Medicago truncatula: one gene and its partner. The protein of the gene in region 1 binds, or shares a complex with, the protein of each later gene. Links are inferred from orthologs where the notes say so. Each region holds a gene or a part of one and is shown on either strand. Other genes may lie near its edges.

Region 1 (7,380 bases):
TTAACTCCAGCCGAATTTTCCTGCCGTGGGGGCAAAATCGTATTTTACTCGTGTTCCTCAGTCTTATCAAATGTGTGAACAACAATTCTCAAAGGATTAAGGAAGATCACTTCTTTCCATAAACCCTTCTCTCTAGGTAAAAACTCTCTCACCTTTCTCTAACTTTACAGAAAAGTGAAACACCACTTTCTCTTCTCCCAAATCAAAATTTTCCTTAACAAGATGTAGATCAGCAAAGTGGTGGTGGTTCTTCCACCACCTACCCCCTTATGGGGTTTCCTTCGTCGGCGCCGCCGCGACTTCTTTTGCTTCGCCAAAGCTGCTCGCCGTAGTCACTCGGGCGGTTTATGGATCGCTGGTGGTGTTAGTGGATTGCCGATTCTTTTATTGCCGGCATTCTGTTTGGGTTTTCTTGTTCATATCCATATATGTGTTGGTGGGTTATGCTCGCAGATTGCCTCCACCATTTTGGAAGGTTCGTGTTTTTGTTTTACAATCGCGGATTCGCGGTTGTTCTTTTGTCGTCGGCGGTTGGTCGTTTCGTTCGTTTTTCTTTCAGAGACTGGGGTGATTTCGGTTACTGACTTGTGGTTGGTTTCGTAAACTCGAAAGGGTATGTTGGTTCTTTTAACCAGAAAGGGTTTGGTTGGCGACTATTGTGTTGACCTATCGATCTGGTTCAATATGTGGTTATGACGAGATTGGTTGTGGTTGGTTCCTGTTCTCTTTGATTCTATGATGTTCCAGATCTGTTGAGATCTGTAGATCTCAAGACGTCAGGTGTGCCTCCCTACCGGTGTTGGTTCGTTTTAGTCTTGTCAGACTGTTATGCTCGAAGGAGCTTTATACTTGTTGATTTTTTCAAGGAGTTGGTACGTGGATCTGGATTCCGTGTTTGCGTCCGATTGATTCGCCAATGTGAACCCTAATTGCTCTCACAGATGCCACTCTTTTCATTTTTTTGTAACTTTGTTTCGTACTCGTACGTCGGTGCGTTAGGTTGCGCTTGAAACAAGTGTTTGTTTGTTAGGATTGATTAGGTGGTTTTGCTTTATCGCGATGTATTCTCATATGGATTGTACCAGGGTCATGTCATATGTCCCCAAGTTTTTGTATGTCTTTGTTTTCTTTTTAATATATTTATCCTCGAGTAATGCTAGGGACACTTTCTCCAACACTCACTCTCTTATTGGATGAAACTAGTGTATGTCCCATCACTTTAAGTGGAACCCATTTTCAATGTGTGAGACCCAGCTTTATTTAAACCAATAATAAAGTGAATGTTTGGAAGAGTGTTGGAAAGATATTGTTGCTAGCATTACTCTTTATCCTTTGCCTAAAAGAAAAAGATAACAAAATCAAATAATACACTTCATTGTATGTTGTATTATTGTTAAGAAGAAAACGGGTTTTTATGTGTATTTTCGTAAATAAAAAAGGTTCAGTGTGTGTTTGGTTGTGTGGTGGAGAAAATTGATTTTAATATAATTGATTTTGTAGAATTGATTTTCGTTAAAAGTGAGTTTAATGTAAAGTGATTTATGTTTGGATACCCTCACAACAAAAGTGCTTTGTATGAAAAATGTTGTTTGGATACTCGATGTCAAAATTGCTTTTGGATGTGTAAATGACCAAAATGGATTTTAAGTTTTAACATACGTGTGTATATTATTTGTGGATCAATTTCTTTTCAATTTTTGTAAAATATTTAAAATTTTGTATATCATTTTTTAAATAATTTTTTTTCAACTTAAAAATAATAAATACAAATATAACCTAAATATTAGCCCAATTTTTATTAAAAACTAAAAGCATTTTTTTTAAGGACGTAAAAACACTTTTTATTATGCTTATTTTCCCCATGTTTTCATAATTCAACATCTATAACTATTTTGGTTTAGTTTATTAAATAAATGAAAGGGGTGATCCATTCGTTAAATAAGGGATAACGATAAGGACTTCCAAAATTTTTGATCAGAAAGGGATGTACCAAAACAGAAAAAGGGGGGTCTTTGGCTTTGGAGTCATATCTTTTCTAACATTGACACAAAAGCTTACTGTTTTGCAATACAAAAATGACATGATAATTGAAGGAAGGAAGAGATCGTCACTATACACAGCAAAGTTTCTTTTATTAAAGAGGGCAAAATTGACATTGCTTGTGGTTACTTTAGAATTGATTTAAGGGAAATACAAAAGCTACAAAATGTTGCTTCAACTAGAATCGATTTCAAGATTCAGAATCAGTGTTTGTTTGGTTTGGCGGCGGGGAGAATTGATTCCGGTAGAATTGAGTTTGAGATAATTGATTATGGTTAAAAGTGAGTTTGATATGAATTGATTTATGTTTGGATACACTCACTTAAAAGTGATTCTTATGAGTTGATGTTGTTTGGATAATTTTAGTCAAAATTGATTTTGAATGTGCAATGACCAAATTATCCTTTTAATTGTTTTTGAAACTAAATATCATATTTTCTTTTCAGATAATTATCTCTACCTTTCTAAAATCATAAGTACATTTTTGCTGGTTCATAAATTCCTTTTAAAATAATATGGAAGCGATTCATATGGATGAAAGCCAAACATGACACTTTTTAGTCAAACTGTGTTTGACCGCTCAAAACGCATGTTTTCCGTTTTCTAACGGGTATCCAAACAGGCACTCAATTCCATAGCAGAGATCCAAACAACCCCAATCTCAATCAAATCACGGTGGATGGCTGTAAACGTTCGTTTGCGGTTGGTGGCCGTGAAACTAAACAGGGACTCAAGCTAAAATACCACCATAATGGAAAACAATGATGAAAACAAACTGTTAATGAATATTTTTTTTTTAATAAAACATTTAGTCGAAAAATATTCACCATTCAATTGGCAGGCATTATCATTCACCAATTTTTTTTATTACCATTACATGTATTTTTTTTGAAAGGTGAATCATTGCATGTAGGCATGTACTATATAATCAAAAGAAAAAAAAACATAATTAAAAAGGAAAAAAATAAAAGACTTCTAAGTTCTAATGTCTAATTTTTTTAATAAAAAAAAGATATGCATAGTTTGTTACAATACAAATGTGTAAAATATATATAAGTATAATTTTTTTAGGCAACTACACTTGTACTTTTAATTAAAATCAAAATTTTATAAAAATAATTATATGTATTACGCAACACTAAAAAAAATTATACGCATTAGCGTAACAAAAAAAAACAGACAGACGAACATAAAATATTACTCTAAACACTAATGTGTGTGTATATATTTATGAGGTTGAAGAAAGAGAATAAAAATATTTGTTGTCATTCATTGACAGCGTGAATAAAAATATTTGCGAGGTTGTGATAATCAAAATATATTGAAATTAATATATAAGTGATAAAAAGATAATGAAATTCCTTAAAAAATTGATAATAAACTTAAATGGACCGTCATTAAAAAAAATTAAATGGATCGGTTCAAAAAATAAAATAAAATGGAAGAAAAAAGCATATTGAAAAAATAAAAGAATAGGTTGCCAGCGTGAGTTGTAGAGAGGGTGCTTGTAAAATAAATTGGGGAGAAGTAGTTTTTTGAAGTAGCATTCAACAACTTTTGGTTAAAGCACATTTCATTTAATTTTATGCATTCTAAAAAAAATACTTTTTTTCGAAGGTACTTTATTGATATTGTGTTTGGCCTAACTTCTTCTTAAAAACTTAGAGAAGCTGGAAAAAAGTTGGGCCAAACGGTACCTAACAATTCTACAACGATTCATCAAAACCTAAACCTAACAATTCAATAAAAGTTCTTTAACAATTCTAACCATTCTAACCTAAACTATCCTAACATATCATAAAATCAATAAAACCTATATAATTAAAATTTAACAAAAAAAGTTAAACAATTTGACCACAAAACAACAATGCGATAAGATTAAAAAAACTTACTTGTTTTTGTGATTGAAATTGGTTTGAAATGACTTGAAATTACTCAAAATTGCACGTAGGAGATCAAAAATGTAACAATAGAGTTTTGGAAACTCCCATATCTATTCGGTTATTGAATTCCTCGACAATTAATTGTTGAGGGACCAAACATGTATTTTAGTTGCGTGCCTCGTCTTTATGAAATGTGTCCACATCAATCTTCCTTATTTGGTGACAACTAGGGTACCCATGGAAGAATGGTGGGTAATTTACCCCAACCAATACACATTAACCACATAAGCACATTTTTAAGTGGTATTCATGAACAATCTTGACCCCACCAACAAATTTCTCATTTTCATTGGTTGATGGGTAAATTACCCACTATTTTTCAAAGGTAATTTAGAAAAAACCTCCTTATTTATTCGTACCCGAGTCGAGTTACTTTCCCGTTGATTGAATTTTCAAACAATTTGGGTTCCGCTTTCTCTCCCTCCCAAACCCTGATACAGATAAACACCCAAATTACGGCGGGAAAATCCAAACCCCACGGAATCGGCTACGAGTCACCGTAACCAATGGGTGGACGCGCCATAACCGTCCTAAACGTGGCAGAGAAGCCGTCGGTGGCGAAATCGGTGGCGAGCATACTCTCTCGCAACCAAGGCCTTCGAGTAAGGGACGGTCGTTCTCGCTACAACAGAATCTTCGAATTCAACTACACCATTCGAGGTCAACCCTGTCAAATGCTCTTCACCTCCGTCCTCGGTCACCTCATGGAGCTTGACTTCGACGATCGTTACCGGAAATGGCACTCGTGTGATCCCGCCGATCTCTTCCAGGCTCCGGTTCATAAATTCGTTCCCGAGGTAATTTCTTCTCGTTTTTCTTCTTCTTCTTCTTCGTTGTTAGAATCTTAATTTCTCTTTAGAATGTTTCTGATTATCTGTGCGATTTTGATTGCGTTGTTAAACCCTAGGATAAAAAGGATATCAAGAGGACATTAGAGGAAGAAGCTAGGCGGTGTCAGTGGCTTATTTTGTGGCTTGATTGCGATAGGGAAGGTGAGAATATCGCGTTTGAAGTTATCAATGTGTGTACTGCGGCAAATCCGAATCTTACTATTAAGAGAGCTCGATTTTCTGCATTGATTGACAGGTTAGGCGTTGTTTTGTCATGATTTTAGTTGTTTTTTTCCTCTGTTATTGTAATGCCTGTATCACTGGTACTTTAGATTGAAGGCAAGTTTGGTGTCCAACACGACACTAACACATCAATTTATCAGTTCAATTTTCTTAAATTGATCGTTTCTTTGGCAGCGGTGTGTTTAGTATCTGTGTTTGTGTATTTGATTCATAATTTTTTACTGTTGCTGCTTTGATGCAGGGAAATCCATCAGGCTGTGCAAAATCTTGTCGAGCCTAATAAGTGGTTTGCTGATGCCGTAGATGCTAGGCAGGCGAGTCTCCTTTTTTGGTCTCAGTTGGAGCTCAAATTTTGTGTTCCAATTGAAACAGGAATCTGATGTTATTGGTTTCTATCAATTTCTTTTCACTAATAACCAACATATGCTAATTGATATTGTTTACTTTGTGAGGGTGATGGATGGTTATTTTTTTTTTTTTATGCAGGAAATAGATCTCCGTATAGGTGCCACTTTCACCAGATTTCAGACCATGTTAATGAAAGATGCTTTTGTCATAGACACTGTTACAGATGGCAGAAATACTGTCTTGAGTTATGGGCCTTGCCAGGTGTGTTTATGTTGACAATATTGTGATGTTTTTGTGCTTAAGCTGGTATTGGCATATTGTGAGTTTCCATTTTGCCTTCATTTTGGCTACAGTTCCCTACGCTTGGATTTGTTGTGGAAAGATACTGGGAGATACAAGCACATGAACCGGAAGAGTTTTGGTTAATCAAATGTTCTCATAGATCAGATGAAGGCGTTGCTAATTTCAGCTGGGAGTAATATGCAAAGCTTTGTGTGCATTCACAATTGTTATTGAGTTTTACCAACTGCTTATAATCTGAATTCACTTGGCAGGCGGGGACATTTGTTTGATTATACATGTGCTGTCATAATATATGAGATGTGCATCGAGGAACCAACTGCAACCGTAAGTGTTCACCAAACTGTGGCTTGCATATGCTGAAATCAGTTTTTTTTTTTTTTTTTTTTACTGATGATACATATTATTACCATTCAGGTGACAAAAGTAACACCAAAGGAGAAGCCAAAGTATCCTCCCCATCCCCTGAGTACTATTGAGCTTGAGAAACGGGCCTCACGATACTTCCGTATGAGCTCTGAGCGCACAATGAAGGTGAGTAAATATTGAGAATCCATGTATTTCATTGTTGGTAATGAGTTTGGAATATATAAGAGCAAGCAATGCATTTGTAGACGATGCTGCAGAAAAATCCTAAAAAACTTACAACCCAGCAGTGTTTGAAATTAAACTCCTGTTCCATAACTGTGTCTGCATGCATATGTGTACCCATCTCCTGTTCCTTACCTGTGTCTGAATGCATATGTGCCCTGCAAAAGGTACATTTTGTTCAACAGTTTTTCTAACTGCTTTCCTGCTACTGTATTTAGTCATTGGACAAATGTTCTGATTACGTGTATCTCTGTTTGCCACAATGTGGTGAATGAACACATTAAGCTACACAATAAATGTGCTTACAGTTAGTGACATGAGTTTTTTATTTCAAGTTCCAACTTTTTGTTTTTCATAGTTTTATGGGTATCATTGTTTTTATACACGTCTCTTATTCCTTTTTTAATTATTTATAGGTGGCAGAAGAACTTTACCAAGGTGGTTTCATCAGTTATCCTCGTACAGAAACTGATAACTTTTCTTCAAGGACCGATTTGCATGTGGGTAACTTTATCTTCTGTTTCACGCACACATAATTATTGGTTGGTCATCCCAGATGAATTTGGAGAACATGCTGCTTGACATGGATTTTGTGTAGTTGTTGCACTTATTTGGGTTGTATACTACAAATTAAAGAAAAGGGGGTAAAAGAATTAGGGTTGTTGAGAGTGAAAATGAAAGAGCATTTGAGCGAATACGCGTGTCTTAATTACACCCTGGAGAATATTATATATACACTAATTAAATGGCAAAAAAGCCTAATTTCTGCAATTACCCTTATTTACAATAATTTTAACAATGGTTTTGAGGAGGTGTTCTTTATGTCATGATTAAGGTAGAAAAAAGGAAATATGGAGTGTTTATCACTTCGGATGTTGTTGGAAATTCATTAGAATATAATATGGCCATGGGTATATGGTTTCTTGTAGATACATTAAGAATGGTTTGGATTTAACATTAGACATAGTATTTTTAGGACATTACAGCATCAATTTATCCGTGTATGTATATTAGGACATTACATATATATAGAATATATGGTTTTAAGTGAGAGCTAGGATGATCTGTCTTTTGAAGCCAGTATG
Region 2 (7,109 bases), on another chromosome or scaffold:
AGTAAAACTTGTTTAAACTTTTAACAACATCACTTTAGAATATGGTGGTAGGTAGCCTATTCTAACAACTCATATTGGCTAGAGTCAGTAAAATTAATTTGAATACTGATACTACCATATGCACGAGAGCTAAAGATCACTATCCAAAGAAAGAACATTGGACAGTTGAATCTCCTTACCTTAATTTTACCCCGAACCAGAGGATCTGTCTCCTTCATTGCTGCCCACTTGGCTGACAAACTAGCTAAGTATGTGAAAGGAACTTCTTGGTCTACAGAAAGTATAAGTGGATTGTCACTGGCGTCCTCCATCAGGATATCTTCATTGTTAAAAACATTGGAGGCAGATCCGTTCAGAGAAGTATTACCTGTGATTACAGGAACTCTGCCCCTTTCTGTCTCTAGATTTTCAGAAACAGAAGAACACACTGCAGTCACAGAACTTTCTCTTGTTACATGAATGGTGTCTTCATGTGCCACTGCAACATTTGAGTTCATGTGAGAAGATTGGTTGTCAACAGAGTTTTCCATGGTAATATTAGCAGTATCTATATGCATCTCCTCAGCTATTGAAGAAGTCTGGTTAGCCATTGAACTATTATGGGACACGGGATTGGTACACCGCTGCATATCAATATTCATTGACTCCACAGTTGAAACCATGAGAGGTATTAAATTTGAAGTAGCATTTTGTGCATCCATAGGCGAAGCATCTTCGGGTGTTATACTGGCACCCCGCCGGCGCTGCATATCGATATTCATTCGCTCCACGTTTGAAACCATGTGGGGTATTGAATTGGAAGTAGAATTCTGTGCACCCATGCGTGAAGTATATTCAGTTGTTATGCTGGCACCCTGCTGGCGCCGCATGTCAATATTTGTTCGCTCCGTGTTTGAAATCATGCGGGGTATTGAATTGGAATTAGCATTTTCTGCACCCATGCGCGAAGTGTATTCAGTTGTTATGCCGGCACCCTGCTGGTGCCGCATGTCAATATTTGTTTGCTCCACGTTTGAAACCATGTGGGGTATTGAATTGGAAGTAGCATTTTGTGCACTCATGCGTGAAGTATCTTCAGTTGTTAAGTTGTTACTGGTGCCAGAAATCCTGTGGCCGGTACCTGCTGTAAAACACGTACATAAAGAACAGATGAGATCAGAGTCAAGAATACTAAGACTGAGATTGGTTACATCATATGTAAATACACTTTTTCTCGCACACACATTTAGGCACTCTAATCTAGAACATAAGGACTTACCTTGGTTGTTTGCCTGGACAGTATTAGTACCGTACAACGTTGGGCTACTGTGACTGAGATCATCAACTCTACTTGCAGCCCATGCAGCAAGAGTCGCTCTGGTTGCTAAAGGAGGAAGCACTCCATTTATGGTTCTGCATGAGGATAACAAACTGATCAAGGTTTACCTATATACAGTAAAGTCACGGATTATAGTAGTAGAAGCCAGCAAGAAAGATAAAAACAACAAGAAATTTGTACGAATTTAGCTTCCCTGTTAAAATATAAATCTCCCTGCCATATCAGCCTGAATAATCCTATTGGAATAACTAATTTGTACCTTTTTCCCCTAGCTGGCTTATTTAGTTCATCAACCAGCCGCTTTCGAGCAGCATCCAGCTGCTCAACTAATCCCCCCAATACTTCAATGGTTTCAGGAACCAGCATCAACATTCCACGGCGCACTTGTACATTAGAGATTGCGACCTACAAGTACCAATAGATCCCTCAAGTTAACCCTTGCTCAGAGAGAATAGCAAATAAAACCATCATGGACATGTATATATGTGCATTCGAATGAAAAGAAAAAAGGATGACTTGTGGCATAGAAGAAACCTTTAAACCAGAAGATGCACAAACTTCAAGAGCATTAATAGACCTGTACTCCATCCCAAAGACTCTTTGAATACCATCAGTCATTGACAACTTCAGGCACCTTTTACGCGTTGGAGGAGCTTGTTGATATCTGCTTCGCAGAGGACAACAGAGATTGACAATTTCATCAACCTGCCAACGCGTTAAGGTATAAAGTCTACAGGTACCACATATGAAATCGATCGCAATTAATGACACGCACGTAGAAAATATACATCAGCAACCATCTAAGCAAAAAATACTTAACCCACTGTCCATCACATAGGAGCATAATTTGGATCCTAGCAACCCAAGATACTATAAACTCCCATAAAGGACTAAAGGAATGTTCAAATTCAAATTATTTTTTGGTTCCTAAAATGCATCTAATTGCAATTTTTTTTAAGTATTAATAACGATGATTTGGCTACAAAGTCAAGCTCTTACCACAGAATCAGTTGCATTGAATCATGTAAAACAATTGAATCATGTAATCATTTGATTTAAGCATTTTTTTCAAACATCTACCTATAGTATAAAGTAAACCTCCAAATTCACAATAATTCTAACAATAAGATAAAGAATGTAACTAATTAACGGCCAAATTGAACGGAATCGAAACCTGCAATACGTAGGGACCAGGGAGAGTATCGAGATGCATGGAAGCAACATTCGAAGGGAGCACACCACTACCACAGAAATTGAGATCAGAAAATAGAAACTGCTCGAAACAGAGTTTTGCCTTTGTAGCAACATCAAACCCTTGGAAGCCGTTCATCGATTCCCCTAGTTCGCGAATACAAGTAGCAAGCGAGTCTCTCTTTATGCAGAATCCAAAACGGCGAAGAAAATCGTTGACGGGACAATCCGAAGCCTGAGGTGGAGGAACCGGCGGAGGAGGTGGTGGAGGAGTGGGAAGGGAGTGGTCATCGGAGACGTCATCGTCGGAGAGTACGACTGGTTCCGAGGGAACTATTTGAGGTTGTGGTAGAGGTTGAGCTTCGACGGCTTCGACGGCGGCGATGACGGCGGCTTCATCGTCGTCGTCGAGTCTGAGACGGCGTATGTGCATTTTTTTTTCGCCGGAAGAAGAAGAAGAATTGCGGATTGTTTTTTGAAAATGTGGTTTCTTCTAAACGGGAATGAGCGGGAATAATTTAGGTTACAGTTTCTCTCGTTTGAGTAAAAGGGAGGGGCGAATAGAAATTAAAACACTCTCTTGGGCCCAATTTAATCCCCAGAAATTTTGACAGCTTCTTTTCCCACCATATAAGTTTCTCACGCGCCTTATACGGTTCCGATTATGGACTCTGAATGATATAAACACTCCATAAAAACCTCCAAAATCACGTTGAAATATTTCGGATTTTACAATCCAAATAGGGCATACGAGAAACTCATAGGATGAAAAAAGATGACCAAAATTTTTACCTCGTGTTCTTACATCTATCCTCTCACTCCTTCATTTTATCCAAACTACTTATTTTCCCTCCAATATAAACATGAAACACTTCATCTTACATCTATACACTCTTACTCCTTCATTTTATCTAAACTACCTATTTTACCCTCCCAACAAGACACGTGTAGTTAAACATTGTTTATCATACAACTAGAATATCATATCTAAACAATTCTAACATAAACACCGAGTCTTTGACTGGAACACAAGAGCACCATACAACTATCATAGTCAATCAGAAAGTTGTCACAATTTATTCTTATACAAAATTAGAGAATAGGTTCATAAGAATGTTATGGGATCACAATTTTCAAATGTTAGATTTTAGAGAGGAAGAAAATGACAAAGAGGTGAAGATTTTTGGGTTTCTTGGTTTAGTTTATTTTGGTTTGATGATTATTTAGTTTCTTGAAAAGAAAGAAATTCAAGCAAATTGGTTCCTTTCTACATGGCATGTGACATGGACGAACATATCAGCCTTTAACATTGCTTGTCCGCGTGTCCAACATCTAAACATGACATAATAACTCATTTGATAAATGTGAAACAAATTGAATGACGATTTTTCTAATTTGAAAAATGGAAGAACAAAATTGATCAATTGGTATAAATTTGAGGAGGAACAAACATATTCACTCCATCAATAATTTTAGTAAGGTCTAACTTTTATATTTTTAGTGCATGAATCTCAATAAGTGTAATGGTGTGTTTTTCTTTAATTAAGCAAAGTTAAAATACATTTGACTTAATATTTTTTGCTTAAACCAAAAAAAATTAATTAATGAATTCTTTAACCAATGTTTTTCTATCTCTCTCATCTCTTATTTTCTCTCATAATTTTTTTCGCATTCTCTCTCCTTTTTTATAGTGTAAAATCATTCAAATGTAGAGAACCCAAAAATTAGTCCAGACTTAAAGTTTAAAGTATTCAAATTTATTTAATTTCATTTGATAGGATATGACGAAAATGCAGTTTAGTTTAGGTAAATTCTTAGATACTCTATAAGTAAAACTATTTAAAATAATATTTTAAAATAAAATAATATAATATAAAAATGTGATATGTCATTGAATAATAGTGCTACGTTTTCTTGAGAACTATGTTTTTTTACATTGAAAAAGGTGATAATTGGCATTTTAACAACGGCAAAATGCTAACTTGTGTCCTCAAAGGTACATGTTAAGGAACTCATTATGAAAATATATATATCAAAAGTCGTGCATTCAACTTCTTAAAAGTTAAAATATCATATTTTTTAATGCAAAGTTACACTTTTGAAGTTATTTAACATGTGCCTTTAGGCACAAGTTAACATGACCCTTTAACGATATATGAACTTTGCTTGGAAACCTTTTTTTATTAAACTTCTTGTTTGGAAACTACAGAGAGAGAGAGAGAAAAAATTGGAGTATATTTTTTGCTGGAAAACATGGGTATATAGCCAATTAAATGATTATGTTGTACATGGTGAGGCAAATTTGTTCACTAAATAACATCCTCAATGATACTTCGTCAAAAAATTAAAATCCTTAATGATACTTTTTTTTAAGAATCTTTAATGATACCTGTTAGCAAAACTTGTTATTTAAAAAAATATTGTAAACCATCGTGTTATCGTCATAGTTCATGAATCAATCACAAGTACAAAAACAGTTTCAAATGTTTTTCACTAATTAATTTGGTCACCATTTATATTTTACCTTTGTTACTTTTGTTCTTTGAATGTGTCTTCTATTGATCAATTTGCTCTAACAAATCACTAACAAAATAAACACTCAATAACGTTTTTTTAATTTTGTTATATTCAAAACTATAGAAATCCTCACATATGTAAAGACTAAAAATAAATAAAAACTAAACTAATTAAACCATAAACTAATTCATGAAGGGGTAATATAAGTTGAGTTCTGATACGTCCACCAACTTATGTGGACAAACACCCCATACCACTCATAGTTGGCGCATATTTAACAATTTTTTTTGCCTAATTCATATCATACAAAAAAAAAATTGTGCTTCTTTCCTCTCGTTCATTATTCAGTCCAGTTTCTCTCTCCCCCTGTTCTAGTTTTTCGCCGGCGAGAAGAATTTTGCATTCAATCACTTTACCTTCTTCAATCAATTCAGTAGGGTGAGAAAGGGGTTATTGATGCTCGCGACTCTCTATCTCTCTTTGTATCACGTCTCGTTCGCTCTCGACAGCCTTCAAACTCACCGTTCTTCTCCAATTCTCCATTTTCGATTCTTGTAAGTTCTGTCACCTTCTTCAGCGCTAACTCCTGATTCATATTCCATACATAAGGTTATTAGGGTTTATATTTGCGTTTGTGCCTGTGTTTTTCAATTCCAAGTGATTGCATGTGTTCAATGTTCAATGTCAATTCAAATTGAGCTTGTTCAATATTTGATGCTGATTGTAAGTGATTGCATTTATTCTTGTGGTTTTGTCAATTTCAAATTTGTGAAAGAACACAATTGATCTAAGGAAATGTTGGAAATGCTAAGGTTATATGTTTTAATTATTTCTATATCACAAATTATCCTATGAAAACTATATCATTTTAAGCCAACCTATCATGTAAAAATTAGATAACCAAAACAATGAACAATGCGATTACGCCTGAGTAAATGTGGTTACGCCTTTGTAAAATTATGGTTATATGCTTCAGTTAATTGGTTAGTAGAATTATCATTTTAAGACTATATAATTTTAAGCAAATCTATCACTAAAATACCAATTGTGATCAACTTTTAAGTTTCATGCACTGGAATTGCTTTAATTTGTTTGCAGATTAGTAAACTTATAGATGAGTAATTTTAACACAGAAAAAAAAATATGGTTACACCTTTGTAATTATTGGGAAGTCTTTCTCAATTTTGGTTAGTTTTTGTGAAGCCTGTTAAAGATGAACAATAGTTCACCTCTCACCCATGCTCATTAGTCAAGATTATCTAGTTTTCCCAAATGTATTCCTTTCACATAATTTAGGTGGATAAATAGTAAGAAAGAGATAAAATGTATCTCAAATCTCATTTTTGGATAAAACGTGGTTCCACTTTTGATAAAACTTGCAGCTTATAAAAGAAGTTGTTTATGGTCAGACGAACGTTAAATGTGGTGAACTAGTGTGCTTCGATGTTCGTTTGGCCTAAAATGTCATTCTTTTTAAATAGGAAGTTACAGTTAACCATAAATTTGGTCTGTGTGACCACAATCTTTCAGTTGTGTGACCATCATTTTTCTAGATTTTTGAATTTCTTTTCTCAACCATTACACTACCCAGTTGATTTCCCGTGGTAATTCTAGCATTGTCTAGCCGACAAAATGGTTATGTGTATGCGATGAATGTCATTTAGTTTGTTTGATTTCATAAGTGTTTTTTGTTTTTGTTAATGCCTTTCCTTATATGTCGCCTTTGGAATTCTTGTTTATTATAGTTATGTCTCAGGCATCAATGTAAGTCAAAGTATATTACTAAAGTCAACGAGAAGCTTACCGAACTTCAAACGTCTCAATGTCAGAAAACACCATTTAAATGAAGGTGTCAAGGAGGACGTCTCCATGGATGAGATTGAAAGGGTTATTGAAAGGGAGGTCACAAATGTATCAGATGATGAAGCACATCATGAATCAAATTTGTTGACTATAATTAAGGACAAGCCAAGAAACCATGTAAAAAGTGGGGTTCTGCTTTCATCGTGGGTGAAGGATGGACGCATAAATAAGATGATTTAAATTAGTGTAGTGTTTTGATATGATTGTAATGTAGAATTTT

The links.
Region 2: DNA topoisomerase 3-alpha (region 1) and recQ-mediated genome instability protein 1 share a complex: the UniProt entries of both Arabidopsis thaliana proteins name them as parts of the RMI complex. The link is inferred for Medicago truncatula from reciprocal best matches to the Arabidopsis thaliana genes TOP3A and RMI1.

What each region holds. Positions count from the first base shown.
Region 1 is NC_053044.1:47,665,294-47,672,673, reverse strand, and holds the start of DNA topoisomerase 3-alpha, read left to right. Parts: upstream 1-4,356; 5' UTR 4,357-4,489; coding exon 4,490-4,780; intron 4,781-4,890; coding exon 4,891-5,069; intron 5,070-5,297; coding exon 5,298-5,370; intron 5,371-5,542; coding exon 5,543-5,665; intron 5,666-5,757; coding exon 5,758-5,879; intron 5,880-5,958; coding exon 5,959-6,031; intron 6,032-6,121; coding exon 6,122-6,238; intron 6,239-6,711; coding exon 6,712-6,795; intron 6,796-7,380. UniProt on the Arabidopsis thaliana protein: Releases the supercoiling and torsional tension of DNA introduced during the DNA replication and transcription by transiently cleaving and rejoining one strand of the DNA duplex.
Region 2 is NC_053049.1:44,633,495-44,640,603, reverse strand, and holds the start of recQ-mediated genome instability protein 1, read right to left. Parts: upstream 3,009-7,109; 5' UTR 2,943-3,008; coding exon 2,493-2,942; intron 2,024-2,492; coding exon 1,853-2,023; intron 1,724-1,852; coding exon 1,578-1,723; intron 1,393-1,577; coding exon 1,259-1,392; intron 1,124-1,258; coding exon 180-1,123; intron 1-179. UniProt on the Arabidopsis thaliana protein: Essential component of the RMI complex, a complex that plays an important role in the resolution step of homologous recombination, in a process called Holliday Junction dissolution, to limit DNA crossover formation in cells.